2 linked regions of the Tamandua tetradactyla genome follow. The protein of the gene in region 1 purifies or fractionates together with the protein of each later gene. This does not show direct contact. Links are inferred from orthologs where the notes say so. Each region holds a gene or a part of one and is shown on either strand. Other genes may lie near its edges.

Region 1 (8,826 bases):
AGACGCTGGCCAGGCCCAAACCACCCCTGCTGCAGGACAGCCCCAGCAACCCAGGGGCGGGCACCAAGCCCTAAGGCGGGGCACCTGCGGCTCGGCCCCGCCCCCGCCCCTGCAACTCGACCCTGGCTGCGACCCCCAGCTCTGACGTCTCGGAAAATTCCCCCCTGCCCCAGTCCCTGGGGGAGGGGGGTCATGGTATGAAATGGGGCTGAGACCCCCGGCTGGGGACAGAGGGACCCGCCAGAGGTGAGCACAAAGTTGGGATCTGGATGCTTGGGTCCTTGGGGGAGGAGAGGGCTGAAGGCGTAGATTCCCAAGAGATTGGGGGCTGAGACTCCTGGGCCTGAGGAAGACGGAGGTCCCTGCCTTCTGGTCCAGGGAAAAAGGGGACTGGAGACCAAGATTCCAGGGTCTCAGGGGGGGAAAGAGCAGAGGCCTGGACTCCTGGGTCTAAAGAAAGCAAGAGCTGGGTCCCATCTGGAGTCTCTAAGTGCCACCAGCTCACCTTTTGCTCTTTCACCTTTCTTGGCCCAGAACATTCCAAACAAGCATCCATGGATTTGTGGAACTGGGATGAAGCATCACCACAGGAACTGCCTCCAGGGAACAGGATCTCAGGTCTGCATAAGTTGCTGGGGCTGAGACAGTGTGTGGAAAGGGTGCCTAGATGGGGTCCTGTGGTGGGGTCTGTTGACACCTGACCTAAACCTAACTTCCTCATTGCCTGCAGCAGGAGCTGAACTTGGCTTCTATTTCCCTGAACTGGCACTCCAAGGGGACAGGCTGACAGTGGAGACATGCTGGAAAGGTAGCTTCAGGCTGGGCCCCCTGAGTACTGGGAAGAAAGGGGGGAAGCTGGGCTCCTGGGTCTGAGTGGGAAAGAGGCTGCATGCTTGGACTCCTGAGGTTGAAGGTGGAGGGGTCTCAGAGTCCTAGTTCTGAGTAAGTGGGTCCTGGAGCACTAATTCCTGGGTGGGGGGCGGTTAGTCCCTAGTCATTGCTCACACCTTCCCCACCATCTTATCCCTGACAGGGTTCCCACAGTTGGACTGGGGCTCCGCGTTACCACAAACAGACACTACATGGGCAACTGGTGAGTGTTTGGAGAGGTGGGGGATGGCGGTCCTGAAGCACTGGGCCTGCAAGCTTAACTTCCCCGATCTTTAAGGGGGAACAGGGCTGGGACTATGGATGCCTGTGTCCTCAAAGTAGCACAGCCTGAATCAGGGTAACGGCCTCCACCACCCCAAGGAATCGGGAGCGGGGACCGAGGCTTGGAGCTTAGAATCCAAGAAGCCCCAAGGGATCCGGGGCCTGGACATCTAAAGTCCCCTCACTTGGGGTGTGTTCCTCCACACAGAGCCCACCCTGCCGGCTCTTGCCTGGTCAGGAGACAGGACCGACCTGGCGCGTCTCGGCGCTGACCCTCGGAGCCCCGTCTCCCAGATCCTGGGCATCGCCCCTCCGGACCCCGTCACCTCCCACTTCGCGGGCTCTGAAGGGCCGGCGGGCCTAGACAGGAGCACCTTGGCGGCAGGGGCAGCGTCTTGGTCTCACGCCCACACGGCCGGGAGCATCCCCAGCTGGCCCCGATGTTCTGTCGGCCCCGATGCCGCCACCTACTGGGATGAGGGCCTCGGTAGGGAGTCGCGCGTGGACTATACCATTTCGTGCGACGGGCCTGAGGGCTCGGACTGTACCACTTCCTGGGACCTGGGACCGCAGACGGCTTGCATGGCCTCTTCCCAGAGGCACCAGAGTTCAGACTGCATTTCCTCCGAGCAAAGCCAGCAGTCGGACCGTCCCACATTAACTTGTTACCCCAAAACTAACCACCGAGGTGAGAGGACCGCGAAGACTGTGTCCTGCAGGGAGTCTAGAGATAACCTAACTTTGGGGCGTAGGGGGCGGGACCGGGAAAACTGGTAGCGAGGGGGGCGGGGCTGAAGTACCTCAGTGCAGGAGAGAAGAGGGGATGGTGGTTTTCAGGTCTGGGTCCTGAGGGAGGAGAAGGCTGTCAGACACTGGTAGGCTTCTAGAGAGCGAGGGGATGGCACACAGGCTACTGGATTTTGTGAAAGAAAAGAGGGCCCCGAAGCCTGGGTCCTCGAGGCACTCTTGGAGTCCCCATCAAAGAGGGGACTCCTGGGTCACCCAAGTGGCGTGGACTGGGGCCAGAAAACCTCTCACCCGCCTCCCATCCCTCAGGTCCCATTCAGCTGTGGCAGTTTCTCCTAGAGCTGCTCCGCGATGGGTCGCGCAGCAGCTGCATCCGCTGGACGGGGAACAGTCGCGAATTCCAGCTTTGCGACCCCAAAGAGGTGCGGTCGCTCTCCAGCCCTGGTCGGTCCGGCTCTACCCTCGTCTTGCTCAATCCTGCAGTTCCATTCACCCTACCTAGTCTTGGCCCCGCACCCAGCGTCTCCTGGGCTAGGTCCCGTCCAACCCTCTGCCAGCCTCATCGGGAGCTTCGACCCCATCCTTGTCAGGGGTGTTTTCTGTATCCTGGCCCCGCTCCTCCTACCCAATCACTAGGTCCCGCCCCCTTTCCTGCCCTTTCTGACTCAGCCCCGCCTCCGTCCCAGGTGGCGCGTCTCTGGGGCGAGCGCAAGAGGAAACCCGGAATGAATTATGAAAAGCTAAGTCGCGGCCTGCGCTACTACTACCGCCGCGACATCGTGCGAAAGAGCGGTGGGCGCAAGTACACGTACCGTTTCGGAGGCTGCGTGCCCGGCTTGGCCTAGCGGGACCGCACTAAGGCGGACAGAGAGCTGTGACCAAATAAAAAATATCCCATCAAGCCTTGTAGCGCGTTCTCATCTGTGTTCTTCCCACTGACACTGAACAGACCCGCCCCCGCTGGGGTACCTACGTGTGCACCACCACACCCGCTGCTGGGCCATCGAGAAACAAGGGTGAGCAAAACAGACCCAGCCTTTTAGGGGGCCAATTGTGTGCCCACACTGTGATGTGACCTACAAGGGAATTAGATCCAGTGCCTCTAGGGCCTACTGTGTGCCTGCCCTGTGTTGGGACAGGTAAAGGAATCAGACACAATCACTAACTGTGTTGGCCCTAGAGAGGGCATAGAGAGGACTAAGACTCAGAACTCCAAAAAGAGCTTAGTGTGCCCTCTCAGTGCTGGGGACCATGAAGAAATTAGACCTGGTGCTTGTCCCTCCACACCACCTAATCTGTTTCCCCAACCCAGACTAGGGAACATAGAACTCGGACCTAGGAGACCCTACTGGGTACTACCCCATTCTGGGAACCACTGAGGACTCAGATCCAGTCCTGAAAGAAAGCCTACTATGTTCCCCTACTGTGGACAGTGCTGGGATACAGCAATGGTCATGGCAGCCCAGAGACCTGCCCTCAGGGAGCTCACAGTCCAAGGTGGAGATAAAACCATTGCCAGACAGGGGCAATCCAGATTGGTCAGGGCAGGGATGGGGAACCCCAGGGGGTTGAGGGAGCCTAAAAAGAAAAACTTGACCTGGAATGTGGGGGAGGGGTCCAGATAGGGGAGTCCGCTGATCTGAGAAGTCAGCTAATTAAAGAGTGTTCCAGGCAGGGAGAACAGCATGAACAAAGGCCTGCAGGTGAAGATCTCATAGCACTGTTCTTACTGTTCAAGGAATTGGGAATGTGGCTTGGGAATATGGGCCAGCTCACATAGGATCTAAAGCCATGGAGGAGTTAAATAGAGGAGTAGTTTCAGCTTTAGGAAGATTTCATTGAAAGGTGGTGGTGGGTGGGTGGATGCAGACATGTGAACAGGTAGGTTCACAAATAATTTCAACATTGATAAACACAGAATGTATGAGAGGCCCCTGACCTAGTTAGACCTGGACACTGCACCCAAGACAGTATGTGGGAAGCTTAGAAGCCACGCTGAGAGGAGGGAGAAAAGCAGTGTGCTTTCACAACTCCTTCTCCCAGCTCTCAGATTCCCCCTTCATTCATACAAGAAATGCATTCATTAATTTATAGAGCACATTCTATGTGCCAAGCATTGTTGTAGGTGCTGGAGTCACAATGGTGAATAAGACAGACAAAAATAGCTCCTTTATGGTGCTTCTATCCTAATGAGAGAGATAAATAAGAGGTAAACATTTAAAAAAAATTAAAAAAAAGGAAGGCTATAGTAAGTACTATAATACACGAAGAGATAAGTGCTGTGTAACAATAAAGTAGGGAAGGGAAATCTGAGAAAGACTCTCAGAGACATTTGAGCAAAGGAGATAAGGGAGGGAGCCATCTGCAGGAACAGCATTCTAAGCCAAAGAAACAGCAAGTGCAAAGGCCCTTGGGGGGAAGCTAGCCTGTACGTTTAAGAAACTGCAAAGTCAATGTGGCTAGTGCAGTGAGAAGGGTAGATGAGAATATTGGGGGCGAGGGGATGAGGCAAGTAGATTGTGTAGGCCATTTGTAAGGACTTTAGCTTTTGCTCGGAGTCAGACCAGCAGCCGGGGTAAATTCTGGACTGAGGAGGGATGTAATATGACACAGGTGTCAACAGAGTTCTTGTGGCTGGTTAGACAAAATGTGGAGGTCAGCAGAGAAGCCAGAAGGCCAGGCAGAGACTACTGCAATAGTCCATGATGGAGTTGACGGTGGCGTGAACCAAATTTGGCAGGGGAGGACTCTAGATACATATTTTAAGGCAGAGTGAACGAGATTAGATTTGGGAAGGGAATGTAGGGTCTGGACAATCCAGTCAATGACCCCAGGAAAGAGATTAATTCGTTTCAAGCGATTAGTTCGTTGATTGTCGTGGTATGACAATCAACCCCGTAACAATCATAATAAGGATGGGGGTTTTGTATTTTGTACAATAATGTATCCCCAAAACTTACACAAGAGTCTGGCTCAGGATAAACGCTCAATAAATATTTCTTGCATGAATAAAAGCACCTCTTCTGGGACATTCTCCCCGAGACAGTCTTCTCTCCAGCCAGTCCCGGGACTCAGAAATCTTTCCCCCTGATACAGTCAAGGTGAAGAGAGCCTGTAATTTGGCGTCCCCAACTGCTGCTCCTAGTTATCTGAAGAGCCACACGAACTCTCTTTTGTCCCGGTAGTGATGTTAAACATGCATTTCAAAGCCCAATGGGATGTCGGAGTTCGAAGGATGGGCGGGCCCAGAGTGACTTCCGGGACTCGGCTACCCATACGCGCTGTAGGCGCGCTGTAGACTACCCAGTACCCGGCTTCGCCGCACTTCCGGCCAGTCTTAATTCCGCTTCCGGTCCTAGACAGACGTTTGGGCTGAGGGTCACATTGAGCAGCGAGCAGCTTCAGAGGCGCTGCTAGGTGAGTGTGGGGGCTCAGATACCTGGGACCCTAGTATGGGGGCTTGGGGAACCGAACCCCACTTCCCCGAGAACGGGATGAGGGTTCCAGCTGGTGGCGTCCTACATCCCAGTGTGCCAGCCCCGGGCCTTGGTTGTTCTGTTAATAATAACAACTAACGTTTGTGGAGTTCTTCCTTATTGCCCAGCAACCTTCCAGGCGATTTAGTTAGATTGATTCTTTAATCTTACCCCCAACCCTGACTGAGGCTGAGAGATAATAAGCTTCTTAGTCGAGGCCGTAGCTACTAGGGTTTAGACCCATTAATTTGGACTGCATTGCTCTTAATCACCAAGCCGCGGGCGTGACCCCCGGGGTTTTGTTTGAGCCGCAGCTTGACTCCCTGGTGGCTGATCCCGCTTCCCCCTTGCACGTTGGAGGGACCGCAGCGTCGTTCCGGATCCACCAACACCCCCACATATTGGGTCGAGATATCACCCGAAGCTCTTTAGACGACTCTGTCCCAGCGGCTGGTGTTTTATAGTCCTCCCTCTCCGGAAGGACTGTTTAGTGCTACCAGAGCCCCAACACTGCCTTGGGCCGCTTGAATTGGACACCGGCCGATGCACCTCTATGTAGTCCATGACTCCTTGAATTTCTGGAATACAGAGGCCATTTCTCATAGGTTCCATGGCTACTGTGTGTCCCTTTTTTAGAGACATAATATCAAATTTTAACCCTACGTCCACAGAACTAATAGGTTTCAAGGAGTGCTAGTGGTTAAATGGGGAAAAAATTATATCTGTTTTTGCTGGCCTCCAATTGAAATGTACCATTTCCTTCCCTTTGGAATGGAGGCAACAATCTCAGAAGCATGGTTATTACTGCTGTGATGCTTCTGGCACCTGTGACTTTTGTCACCATTTGAAATCACAGATGTTCTTATATCACATTAGTTGTTGCAGATATCACAAAATAGTTTTACTTGTGGTTAAATCAATACTATGGCAGTTAATAAATCTACAGCTAGATATAACTGGTTTTCTTTTTGACCCAGTGCAGTTTTTAATGCATTTAAACATATTCTGAGAATGCGGTTTGTAGGATTAATCAAACCCCAGAGCAGTTCATAGCACCAAAAAGATTAAGAACCTCTGCAGTGTATGGTAGTCCAGTAACTGAGTACAGCCCCATCAGTTGTGTGTGGCATGACCTTGGGAAGTCACTTAGATGTCTGATTCCTTCCTTGTCAAGAAATGGGGATAGTAATAGTTCTGACCTTATACAGAGGCTGTTAGAGGAGTCAAGTATGTTGAACAGCATCTGGCCTGTAAATTTATTCAGTAATGTAGCTAGTATTATTTGGGATAAGAGACTTGATTTTGCTAAGGGTTTGCCCCAACCTGTTATGACTTCCACACCAGATGTATGGATTGGCCCTGCAGTTCACTTGTGTGTGAGTGTGTGTGTTAGGGGAGGGGAGTGATGACTTCTTTATACTCAGCCCAATTTTCTGGATTTGGGCCTCATTTGGTCCTGGGTGGGCTGAGATGCCCATGTCTAAGCCCTCCAACCCTTACCAACGTCCACCCACTTTGCCTCCAGGAGTCAGCATCATGGCAGAAGACATCAAGACCAAAATTAAGAACTACAGAACTGCCCCTTTTGACAGCCGCTTCCCCAACCAGAACCAGACCAGGAACTGCTGGCAGAACTACCTGGGTAAGAAGGGTGTGGTCATGGGAAAGTGCAGACCTTCCCCTAGTCCCAATCCTCAAGTCCCTCACCTCTTACCTACTCCTAGAGGACCCATGCACCTTAACACTGGTCCTGGACGCTACTTTTATTCTGAACATCATAACCCTGGAGGGCCCATGCCCTCATTAACAATCACCTCAGCATCTGAACCAGTCACAAACTTTGGTTCTTACAATGATTTTTAAGTGTATGTGTGTGTGTGTTTGTGTGTGTGTAATGAAACATATGTAAAACATAATGTAAGCTAAAACAATAATTCTAAAGTGAACCCCTGTACGGCCATAACCTGGATAGAAAAATAGAATGTTGCTAGTACTCTAAACTCCCCAACCACTACATGCTCCATCTTGAGCACAACTCCCTCCCCCTACTAGAAGTGTAACCAATATTCAATATTATATCACATTTTTGGTTTTACCTCCTTGTTTTAAGTTTGCCCCTTTGTGAACTTTATAGTACTCTGTGTTCTTTTTGGCTTTCTTCATTCAGTTCAGGAATCTTATATGCTGTGGTATACAGTATTCCACAGTTCTTTCCATGTACACTTGTGTGGCTTTCAGTTTGGGGCTTTGATGAATAGGGCTGCTATAAACATTCATAGAAATGTAATCCAATGCTGTGTGCATGCATTCCTGTCTAGGAAATGTGCCCAGGAGTGAATTGCCTTTTTGTTTGTTTGTTTTTAATTTATTTTTGTTTGTTTTTATTTTAATGAATTACCTATTTTAAAAAAAAACAGATTATTCCTTTCCCGCCTTCCTCTCTGGAACTCCCAGCACCTTATCGTCAAGATCATTTTCCCCTTCCCTTGCCCTGGTTTTGGGCTCCATAATCTGTGTGCTAATGCTTCCCCATCATTCCTGATCCCAGTGTTTACAAGTCAGGCAACAGTTCTCTAGTGGATTACAAAATCAGTTTAGTGAGTTGTGCTCAGCCCTTTTTAATGGATTTGTTTCTTTGTGAAACTTCTATTTTCAATATGTGTGTGTGTGTGAGACTGATCATGAGGTATAAAATATTTCCCGCTGTGAGTTTTGGTCAGAAGTGTGTTCAGAAATGACCCTGAACCCCTTTCTTTACAGACTTCCACCGCTGCGAGAAGGCAATGACTGATAAAGGGGGTGACGTCTCCGTGTGTGAATGGTACCGGCGTGTGTATAAGTCCCTCTGCCCCATATCCTGGGTAGGTGCTTCCTGTTGGGACTCTTGGGATGCAGGGGCAGGTCCGAGCAGAGGAGAGTGTGGTGACTTGGCGGGAGCTCATCTCTAAGGGACAAGGGAAGACAAGGTATAACATTGTCTACAGGGCTTTTGCTGTTTCCCCTTCCCGGAATTGCCTCCCTTCTCTGACACCTCTTAGCCAGGGAGGGCTCTCAGCCATGACCACCAGAGCTGTCTCCTTGCTGGAACCATCTTTCTCACTTTTCAAATTCATACTCAGTATCAGGCCTCTGTACCTGTGAGCTTCTCTTGTCTTTTTTATAAGTATTTTCAAATATATGTAAAATTAGAGTAGTTCATTGATCCCAAATATGGCCATCATTCGAACTGAATAGTTACAATGATTTTCTGCATTTGCCTCATCTGTCAGTTACCCCCCCCCCCAACTTTTCTTCTGGTGAAGTATTCTAAAGCAAATCTCAGACATGTAATTTCACCCTCTCCTCCTTTAGTATGGATCTCTTTAGAATACCACCATTTTGCAGTCCTTTTTGTCCTGATCTGTCCTGTCAGCACTTAGTGCTCTTTGCCATGCCTTTTATTTTTTTTTAA
Region 2 (9,481 bases), on another chromosome or scaffold:
TCCCTCACAGGATGGCCTGCCTGTTCCACCCTTCCATCTTCAGTTCTCTCTTCTTCATTCAGTCTGGTGGCTCCTGTAAAGGTGCATCCAGCTACTGGATGAATCTTCAAAGGCTTAGCTGCCAATGTAAGTCTAAGTGAGTCTAAATCCTTGGCAAGCGGTGAGGTCTCAAAATACACAAGACGGTCTCTGCCCACCAGGACCATCCAACTTTGAATGTGAAGACAGACACAGAGTGTTGGACTATGTGGAAGGAATTTTTTTTCATGTATTAAGTACCTTATAAGAGAAATCATCAACTGGTCCCATTTTACAGATAAGGAAACATAAACTCAGAGAGATTAAGGCCACACGGTTGTTAAGCAAAAGAATCTGGATTTGCTTCCAAGGCTGCCTGACTCCAAAGCCTGCCTTTTTCAGCACCTCCCCATGACACAGCCTAGGAAGCTGGTGTGAGAGCCTGGGGAAGTGCCCTCTTCTTCTGCTGGGGAGGGTCTCTATATGTCAAATGTTGTAGCTGTGAGGGTCAGATGGGAATGTCCCTGCTGGGGGTAGGCTGGCCTCCTGACTGTTCCCGATAACCGTCCTCCCCCACAACTCTCAAGGGAGGGAGAATGAGCTAAGGCTGCGAATTACACAAACCTGGCCTCTCATGGGGTGAGAGAGGCAGAGAGGACGTTTGGGGACAGAGGAGGTGTCTGTAAAGAGCGTGTAATAGGCTAGTGGACAGAATTCAGGAGACTCCTCTGAAGGAGGAGGGAGGGTGTGTCTGGGCCTGGCAGGATGCCCAGGCTGGCTCCAGAAGCACTTTCACCGAGGAGGGGAGTGATGAGTCACCAGCTTCCCCCACACCCAGCACCCTCGCAGGTGGTGTGCCACTCAGTTTGTTGAATGAATGTTGCCGAGAGAGGCTGGCTGCAGGGAGAAGAGGAAGCTAACTCGGGTCATTGCTAAATGACCAACCTTCAGCCAGAACCTCTGAAACCAAATCCAAATTAGGAGAAGGAGGAGCCCGGCAGTAGGCAAACGCTCCCCTTGGCCGGAATCCCAACTTCCCTGCCCTCATCTCGGTTGGTGTCCTTCTGCAGCATTAACAGCCTACAGCCTTGGACAGCTCCCCCTGGCCCGGGGTCGGCCTCTCCACCACCTCGGCGCACGGGACCTCTCTCTGGGGTTGCACTCAGCTCCCGCATTCCGCCAAGTTCGAGAACCCAAAGGGGCCACGCGGGAACTGGGAATGAAAGGAGGGGACGCAGGGAGGCGCCACGCACAAGGAGATCCCACTCCGGGAGCGACACATCCCGCGTCTCCCTCCCGAGGATGAGCGGACAAATGGGGCCTGGACAGGCGAAGAAACACAGACGAGCAAAGGGAGACAGGCAGGGGGCCGACCGCACGGACAAGGGTCAGACAGAAAAGCCCGGCCGAGACGCGGATAGGAGGCCCGGGTGATGGGGAGGTCTGGGTGTGGCCCGCCGGACCAGGAGACACTCACATTCGCGGCCATGGTAGGACCCGGCTTGCTGCCGCCGCCTCGATCTGCTCAACTAGATGATTGGTGGGCGACGGGAGCGTGGAGTCCGGTAGCCTGCTAGCCCGGAGTTGCGAAGGACCGCACGGTGCCAAAACAAGTCGATTCTTGCTACAGTTACCGCCCCGTGGCTCCATTCTGTCTGGGCATGCGCTCCGCAAGGCCTCCTGGAAAACGTAGTGCGAGCGGGGCTCAGAGTCGTGGGCGCTCGGCACAAAATTGCAGTACGCCCTTATCTCACTGGTGCGCCTGCGCGTTGCAAAGCTTTCTGGGAACCGTAGTTCTTACCGCTTGGCGAGCTACAGGGCGTTGGGTGGCCTGCTGGGAAGTGTAGTTTCCGGCTGAGGGGTCGGGCCGCGTCTGGGAGTGCGCGGAACAGGCGCGCCGCGGGCAGGCTTAGAGGGGGCGGGTCCGCGCGGGCTTTGGATCTGCGCGCTCAGCTTGAGGAGAGGTCACGGCGTGAAGTAGCCGCCACCGCCGCCACCGCCGCCGCCGCCGCTGCTGTTGCTGCGAGGTCTGAGCGCCGGGTAGAAGCGATGTCCTACTGCCGTCAGGAAGGTAGGGAGAGCAGGCGGGCAGGCTGCTATGGAGACCGGCCTACGAGGGCCCGCAGGGGACATGCCACTCAGGTCGCCCTCTTAGACCCCGGCGTCCGGCGATCCCACTACCAGCGTGGCCAACGCGAGGTGCAGCCAGGGGAGGGGTACCTTCTTCGCGTCCTGGAGCAGGTCAGCGGTGGGGTCGTCACCCTTACGTGCAGATGAGAAAGCCGAGGCTCTGGGAAGAACAGGGCTGGTCCAAGGTCATGGTAAGGTTCGAACCCCGGCCTTAGAGGGAGCCGCACTTGGGAGACTAGTAAACTAGGCCCGGAGGGTGTATGGGAAGTGCTGAGCACGTTGCCTGGCCCGTAATTGGAAGTTTATTGTTATTATTACTCACGTTCTCACTACGTACCACGTGTTTCCCATATTGCAAGCTTCTTGTAATTGTCCGTGAAATCTTTCCGCTCAGGTCGCGTGCTGTGTTATTGTAGCGTTAGTCCCACTAGTGGGAACATTTATTGAACTCCCACTGCTTATCAGGCATTGTTCAAGGAGCTTTACATGATTTATCTCATTGACCTCGCAGTGACCTGTCAGATTGTGTGACCCCATTTTACCGACTATATAGTAAACTAAAGGCACAGAGGGATTAAGTGATTTGGCCAAGGTCACGCAGCCAGAAAGTAGTGAGCTGGATTTTGAGTTCTGGCGATCTGATTCCAGAACTGGATTATCCAATCCGCAACCTTGTGGATTCCAGGAAGCCCGCTGCTGGGAAGATCTGTTCCCCCCACATGCCACAACATTGAACTCCACCCACACCCCTTTCTGCTCACTGTTGTTCCCTCTGCACAAGAGCTCAGAAGGCTGGGGGGCACCCAGGGGCCCACACACACACAGACACTAATTCCCTCCTAGTCCTAGAGCTGTCACTTAACCCAGTTTCCAGCCTTGTTAAATGAGAAGGTGGACTTCATTCATTCAACAGATGGTCATGAAAGGCCTTCTCTTTGCCAAGGAATGGTGGATACTTGAGAGTTTAAGACGCCATAGAAAGTTGGAACTCATCCAGAGATTTTTTGGCCCCCTCAGTTTCATTAAGGGAATGTGAAGCCCAAAGAAAAGGGGTTAGATCATGTAGCTAGTTAGGGACAGAGCTTCATCTAGAACTCCAGGCCTTTACTCCAGTACCCCCCTGCTTCTAGAATCCCTCTGAGTACTAGTTCCATTAATTAATAATTAATAACTGCTATAAAGAGAAATCCTTTGTTCATATGTTAGGTCTGTTGTCTTACTTTTAATTCCCATTCTCTGAGTTGCTAATTCACTTCTTCATTTAAAAAATAATAAAAATAATTTTCGAGCCTGTTAGGTGCAGTGAAGCTGTGCAGGTAAATAACACCTCTCCTTGTTCTTGAGGCGTTTACAGGGGTCACAGTTTCTCTGGGAAGGAGGGGCAGTGTCCTTCTGCCACCAAAGCATGGAGCTCTGTCATTTCCTGGTTCAAGGGTTTCTTCTCTTTCTTAGTTTGAGGATGAGAATTGGAAGCACTCACTTTCAAGCCTTCTTTAGTTTTTATCTTATCCATACTACCAGCCCCTAAAAAGCCCCCAGTTTTTTGTTTGTTTTTTTCTGCCTACTCATCTTTATGCTTTCTCTGGGACTTAGAAATATGATCCCAAACTCTTTACCCTATAAGTGCTTATGTGATCTTATCCCTCCCTTCACCTCCAGCCTCATCTTCCACTCCCTCCTTTCCCTGCTCTGCTCCCTCTAAGCTGGCTTCCTGGCTTGGCCCTTCCTCTGCCTGGAGCATCCTTCCCCCTGCTCTTCCATGCCTGGTTCCTCATTCTTTAAGGTTCATATCACATATCACCTCAGAAAGGCCTTTGTGTCTTCCATGAACTAAGTTCTCTGAAATACCTTGCTCATTTTTTGTCATTTTATTTCTTGCCTATCTTCTTCGACTGAGCTGAGAAAATTAGCTGGGCTGTATCCCAAGCATCTAACACGGTGCCTGGTAGACAGTAGGCACACAAATCTTGACTGAGTGAATTCATGCAAGTCTCTGTTCACCTTGATCTAATTTACTTTTGGAGTAATTACCCAGCCTTCAGGTAAAAGGCCTTAGCTTGGCATTCAAGGTGTTCTCCAGAGAGACTTAGCCTCCTTCTCAGGCCTTGGGCCACCCTCACTGCTCTTTGTCAGCCCCATCGTGTTCCTTTCTTGGTTTTCCTCATTTTCTAGTGTGGTTTCTCTTGTATTTGGTTAACAAACGTTTATTGAGTACCTACTATGGGCCATCCAGTGGCACATAATAGTTAGCAAAGGTAGCACAGTCTCTGTCCTCATGGCCTCCAGTGGAAGAGATGGACATTAAAACATCAACAGGTGAATGTGTAATTACAAACTGTGAAGAAAAAGTCCAGCATGCCATAATTTACAGAAAGGCTCTGCAGGGTCAAGGAAGGCTTCTAATCAGCTACAAATGCTATTCAATTTCATTCAATTCTTACTCTTCACTACCCACACACCACAGGTTAAAGACGGCCCCAGGCCAGTTACACTACTGGCTACAAATTTGCGGGTTTCTACCATCCTCTTGGGTTCAATAATGTGCTAGAATAATTCACAGAACTCACTGAAAGTGCTATACTTACTATTGTAGTTTTATTATTGTAAAAGAATACAGAGTAGAAGAATCCAAAAGAAGAGAAACATAGGGCAAGGTCTGAAAGGGTCTCAAATATAAGTTTCTGTGCCTTCCACTTGGAATCAAAACAGATCACCCTCCCAGCATAGCAGTGTATATTAAAATCCTGGACGCTCACTTGAGCTTCTGTTACCCTGAATTTATATGAGGTTTCATTATGCAGATATGAGAGCAAGCCTTTGGAAATTCCAAAGACTTAAGATGGTTACCTCCTAGGAGTCTGGACAAAGGTCAGACTTTTTTCTGGAGGCCAGCTACACAGCAGCTTAGGCTTCATGGTCAGAAATAGAGCGTGGAAGAGGGTGGTCTGGCTGACTCTGCCTGGCAAAGAAAGCAGGTGATTCTGAGCTAATTCTAGAGTTGGCCTTATGGAGGAACCCAACCTAAGAGTTTGATGTCCAAGGACAAAGGACTCCTACAGTTACCCTACACAGGGAGAGCAGAAAGGGATGGGGCTGAAGAGTGGATTAAGATGTATGTGAGGTTTTTCAATAGCCATACTATCAGAGCTGGTGAGTGCGCCTTCTCGAGGTTGAGCTCCAGATGCCTTTTTAGCCCAGGATGACTGTCCTATAATCATTCTAGCACGAAGGAATTGCTGCTACTTGGATTTGAGAACTATATTGGGCTCCAAAGGATAGGAATTCTTGTGGACCCCTCAGCCTTCTTTTATTTTTCTTCTATCGGTATGTTCTGTAAATGTCCAAGAAACCTACGCTTTGGTATAAACATTTGCTTGTAGTCTTAACTAACTCTAAAATGTAACAGATTTATGGATTGAATTCTAATAATATTCATTTTAACAGCATTAATTTATTCTGGTAGACGGTGTTTGAAATTTTTATTGTCTTCTTACAGAGTACTTGCTTCTCTGCCAGCATAGGACCTTTTCTGTTAACTGGGCCTATGCTGTTGTTATGTGAGGCCCACAGCTCTCCATGGGGGCTCTGCATGACTGGGACCCCTCTGCTCACCCTGCAGAGCCGTGATAGGGAGTCATCTGGCCGTCACTGGCTTCGAGGCACTAGTTCTGTGTTAAGGCCACCTCACTTTTCTCCCATGATCATTTAAGTCTGTTTGGAAGTCTAAAAGGGTATGACATGGTTATCTACATTCCTTCTGAATATGCTATGTCAGCATTGTGATTTTTTTTTAAGATTATCTTGGAAATAAAAACACAAGCATTTTTATTCATCCATAGAGAGTCCCTGAGAAATTTTGCGAGAAATACTCGGCTAGCTGATTACTTGAAGCCTTCTAACTCTACTAGTTGTCTGTCATGACTGTTTCCACAGTTTGGTATATTAAAGGTAAACAAGTTTGCATTTGCATCAGTGTCATTTTTTTTTTTTTCTGTGTGCTATGCGGTGGGGGTCACATTTCCATGTGAATATCCTATTATTGCACCATTATTGTTATTTTTTTCCAAGTGCATGGGCTGGGAGTTGAAGCTGGTCTCCTGCATGGCAGGTGAGAATTCTACCACTGAACACCTGTACATCCCAGTGTCACCTATCTTTAAATGCCCCAGGAAGCAGAGGTCTGGGTCCATACAGTCTATTGTGGTGGGACAGGTGTGCAGTGGGCAGTGTGTAAGGTGAGGTGAGTCCAGAGCATGCCAGGGTTCTTGTTCCTGCTCACCCTTCACTTGTCCATGGGTCTTTGGGTCAGTTCCTTACCACCTCTGAGCCTCCATTTCTTCAATCTCTGTTAAAAGATAAAAGCAAATCCCCACTTCATAGGATTGGTGTGAGGATTAAATGAGCCAGTGTAGGCAAAGTGCATTGCATAGGGTCTTTAGTTTTAAAAAGTTGTTATTCTGCTCACCTCCCTCTCCAGTGTGAACTGTGCTCTCAGGCGAGTGTCCAGAAGGAAACTGTGAGGACCTTGCTGTGTTGGAAAGATCTGAAACTTGGGGGGCCTGTGCCAGACTTTGTTGTATGTTGATCACCTCTGAAGCCTGGGAGCAATCTGGGCATGCCGGAGAGCTTGATTCTGCTTTTTCTGGGCCTTACCATCTGACCGGGGTGAGATCTTGGTAAACAAAACTATCAAAAGCTGAGAATTTGGTGTCAGCTTATTCTGCTTGGCTGTCAGCGTTTTTACTGACTGCTTTCAAGTGTTTTGTAGACTGTCCAGAATTGCCAGGGTCATCAGGTAGGTATGTTAACATGACTGACTGCCTGGCCCAAATCCTTTCCTAGGGCCATGGGGAAAAAGCATTCTAGTCTGGAATAACATGTGAGGTGTTGAGACGGAGACCAGAGCTGAGCACAGAAACCTCAGGTCAGGGTGGATGGGTTTTCCTATCACCTATTCTAAGAGCTCCTGCTTACTATTGTTAAAAGAAAAACTTTTCATGCAATTTAAGATCTCACAGCTGTATTGAGCAATTCCTCAATTGGGCAGCATCCCATTCAGAAAGCAGGGAGCTTCATTCAGGGAGTGGAAAGGGGAAGTATCTGATAAGCTATCTCTTCTGGACAGGTTTATCACCAGATATTACTTATCTGCAGTTTTCTGGGATCCATCCTTTGTTCCATTTTCTCAGAAAGTCCCTGTAGGTCAGTTGTTTTTGTCTTCTGAGAGATGAAATCCTTTCTCAGAAAGGGATCCCTTCTAGCTGTGCCCAATGCAGGCGACCTTTTTACTTTGCTTAAACTATCACCCATATGGAAGTCCCTGTGCAGGTATGGAAAGGGTAAAGCACAAAGGGGGCCTTCCCCCTGTCCCTTGAACTGCACTCACTGGAAGAGTCACTCTGATTTTTATTGCCACCCTTGTGCCCTCCTCCAGCCTCTTAAATATTCCAGTCCCAAGCATGGGCTCCAACCTTTTACCTTGGTTTTCCTTAGCATACCTGTGGCAGAACTTTCTTGAAGGAAAACAAAACAGCAATAATCACAGAAAATGCTAGCAGCTTCCAGAGAGCTGCATTTCTGTAGACCTGCTCTCTGCCTCCATGGTAGCTGACCCTCTCAGTGACCAGGGCACTGCCTCTAGCTCCTCTGTCCAGGGGCTCTTTTGGAGGTATCTGAAGAAGTCTTCCTAAACACTAGGGATCACCCATCCCGTAGTAGATAAGGGGCCTATGATCCCAGATCATCTGGGGTCAGAATGGAGAGCCATTAGGGCCATGAAATTTATCCTTGCCCTCTATCAGGTAGGTACCCAGAAAGATCTATTTATTCACTTAATTCTAAGTTTGTGACGGATTGGATCAATATTTATTGTAGGAAGCATTTATTAATGCCAAGGCACACAAAGCTCTCAGGCTGATAAGTATTTCTGGGTGTGGAAAGGATCTCCACACTGTGGATGTGAGAGACAGAGCTGGGTCCACATTCCAGCTGTGCCACTTGCTATGTGAGCTTGAGCAATTCAATTCCAGAGCCTTAGGCTCGCTCTTGTAACATGGGGGTACCACTAGCTGTCACCTTCCCAGGGGTGTGAGAGAGTTGGTGGGATGCAGAGATGGACTGACCCCGTCCCTGCCTTCTGGGGACAGTAGGGGAAGCCACTGAGCATGCAGTGCTCTGAGTACTAAGGTAATAGGCAAGGTGCTTATCTTACAAAATGGGGATATCTTACAAAAACCACCATGTGGGAAGCTGATGCCCAAAGTTTTTAGGAAGGTATGAGGTTACGTGGCATACCCACATGTAGTAGTTAGATTCAGTTGTCAACTTGGCCAGGTGACAGTGCCTAGATCTATTGTTGTGGACATGAGCCAATGACGTATGAACCTCATCTGTTGCTGATTACATCTGCAGTCGGCTAGGAGGCATGCCTGCTGCAATGAATGATGTTTGATTTAATTGGCTGGTGCTTAAATGAGAGCGCTCACTGTAGCACAGCCCAAGCAGCTCAGCATACCTCATCTCAGCACTCGCAGCTCAGCCCAGGCCTTTGGAGGTGCAGAAAGAAATCACCCTGGGGAAAGTTGTTGGAACCCAGAGGCCTGGAGAGAAGGCCAGCAGAGATCACCCTGTGCCTTCCCACATGAGAAAGAACCTCAGTTGCAAGTTAGCTGCCTCTCCTCTGAAGAACTAACAAAATAAATCCCCTTTTATTAAAAGCCAGTCCGTCTGTGGTGTGTTGCCTTCTGGCAGCTAGCAAACTAGAACAGCATGAGTCACTCTAGGGTTTCACATGGGACTTTCTTCCAACTTAGTTATGTGGCTGCTTTGGATTTAAGGGTACTTCAACTACTTTTAAATAAACATGTCTTCCTCTGTCCTCCAAACACCAGGGAAGGATCGAATCATATTTGTGACCAGAGAAGACCATGAAACTCCCAGCAGTGCAGAGCTGGTGGCTGATGACCCTAATGATCCATACGAGGAGCATGGTGAGTGGTGGATGTCCTGGGAACACAGCATGAACTGGGTGGGAATTTGGTGATCATAATTCCTTTCCCATTTTGTCCTTGCCAAGGCTACATTTCAAGGTATCCATTGTAGAGTTAGGGAGCAGTCCACAGGACCACCTTAGATTCTGATAATTTGCTAGAAGGACTAATAAAACTCACTGAAAGCTGTTATACTTATGGTTTTGTTTTATTATAGTGAAAGGAGACAGATTAAAATCAGCCGAGGGAAGAGGTACATTGGGGCAGAGCCCAGGAGAGTTCCAAATGTGGAGCTGCCAGTGGTCCTCTCCCTGTAGAGTCCTGGACAGCGTTAACTCCTCCCA

The links.
Region 2: the proteins of COX6B1 (region 1) and CHCHD4 purify together in Homo sapiens (co-immunoprecipitation; 3 studies listed by BioGRID and IntAct, with this or other methods). This does not show direct contact. The link is inferred for Tamandua tetradactyla from reciprocal best matches to the Homo sapiens genes COX6B1 and CHCHD4.

The regions. Positions count from the first base shown.
Region 1 is NC_135342.1:30,361,291-30,370,116, reverse strand, and holds the start of COX6B1 (cytochrome c oxidase subunit 6B1), read left to right. Parts: upstream 1-5,181; 5' UTR 5,182-5,316; intron 5,317-6,900; 5' UTR 6,901-6,911; coding exon 6,912-7,017; intron 7,018-8,135; coding exon 8,136-8,236; intron 8,237-8,826. Other genes in the region: ETV2 (ETS translocation variant 2), read left to right, coding at 555-618, 731-808, 1,034-1,093, 1,361-1,840, 2,209-2,321, 2,586-2,744. UniProt on the Homo sapiens protein: Component of the cytochrome c oxidase, the last enzyme in the mitochondrial electron transport chain which drives oxidative phosphorylation.
Region 2 is NC_135335.1:33,896,612-33,906,092, reverse strand, and holds the start of CHCHD4 (mitochondrial intermembrane space import and assembly protein 40), read left to right. Parts: upstream 1-5,987; 5' UTR 5,988-6,065; coding exon 6,066-6,096; intron 6,097-9,038; coding exon 9,039-9,137; intron 9,138-9,481. Other genes in the region: TMEM43 (transmembrane protein 43), read right to left, coding at 1,496-1,507.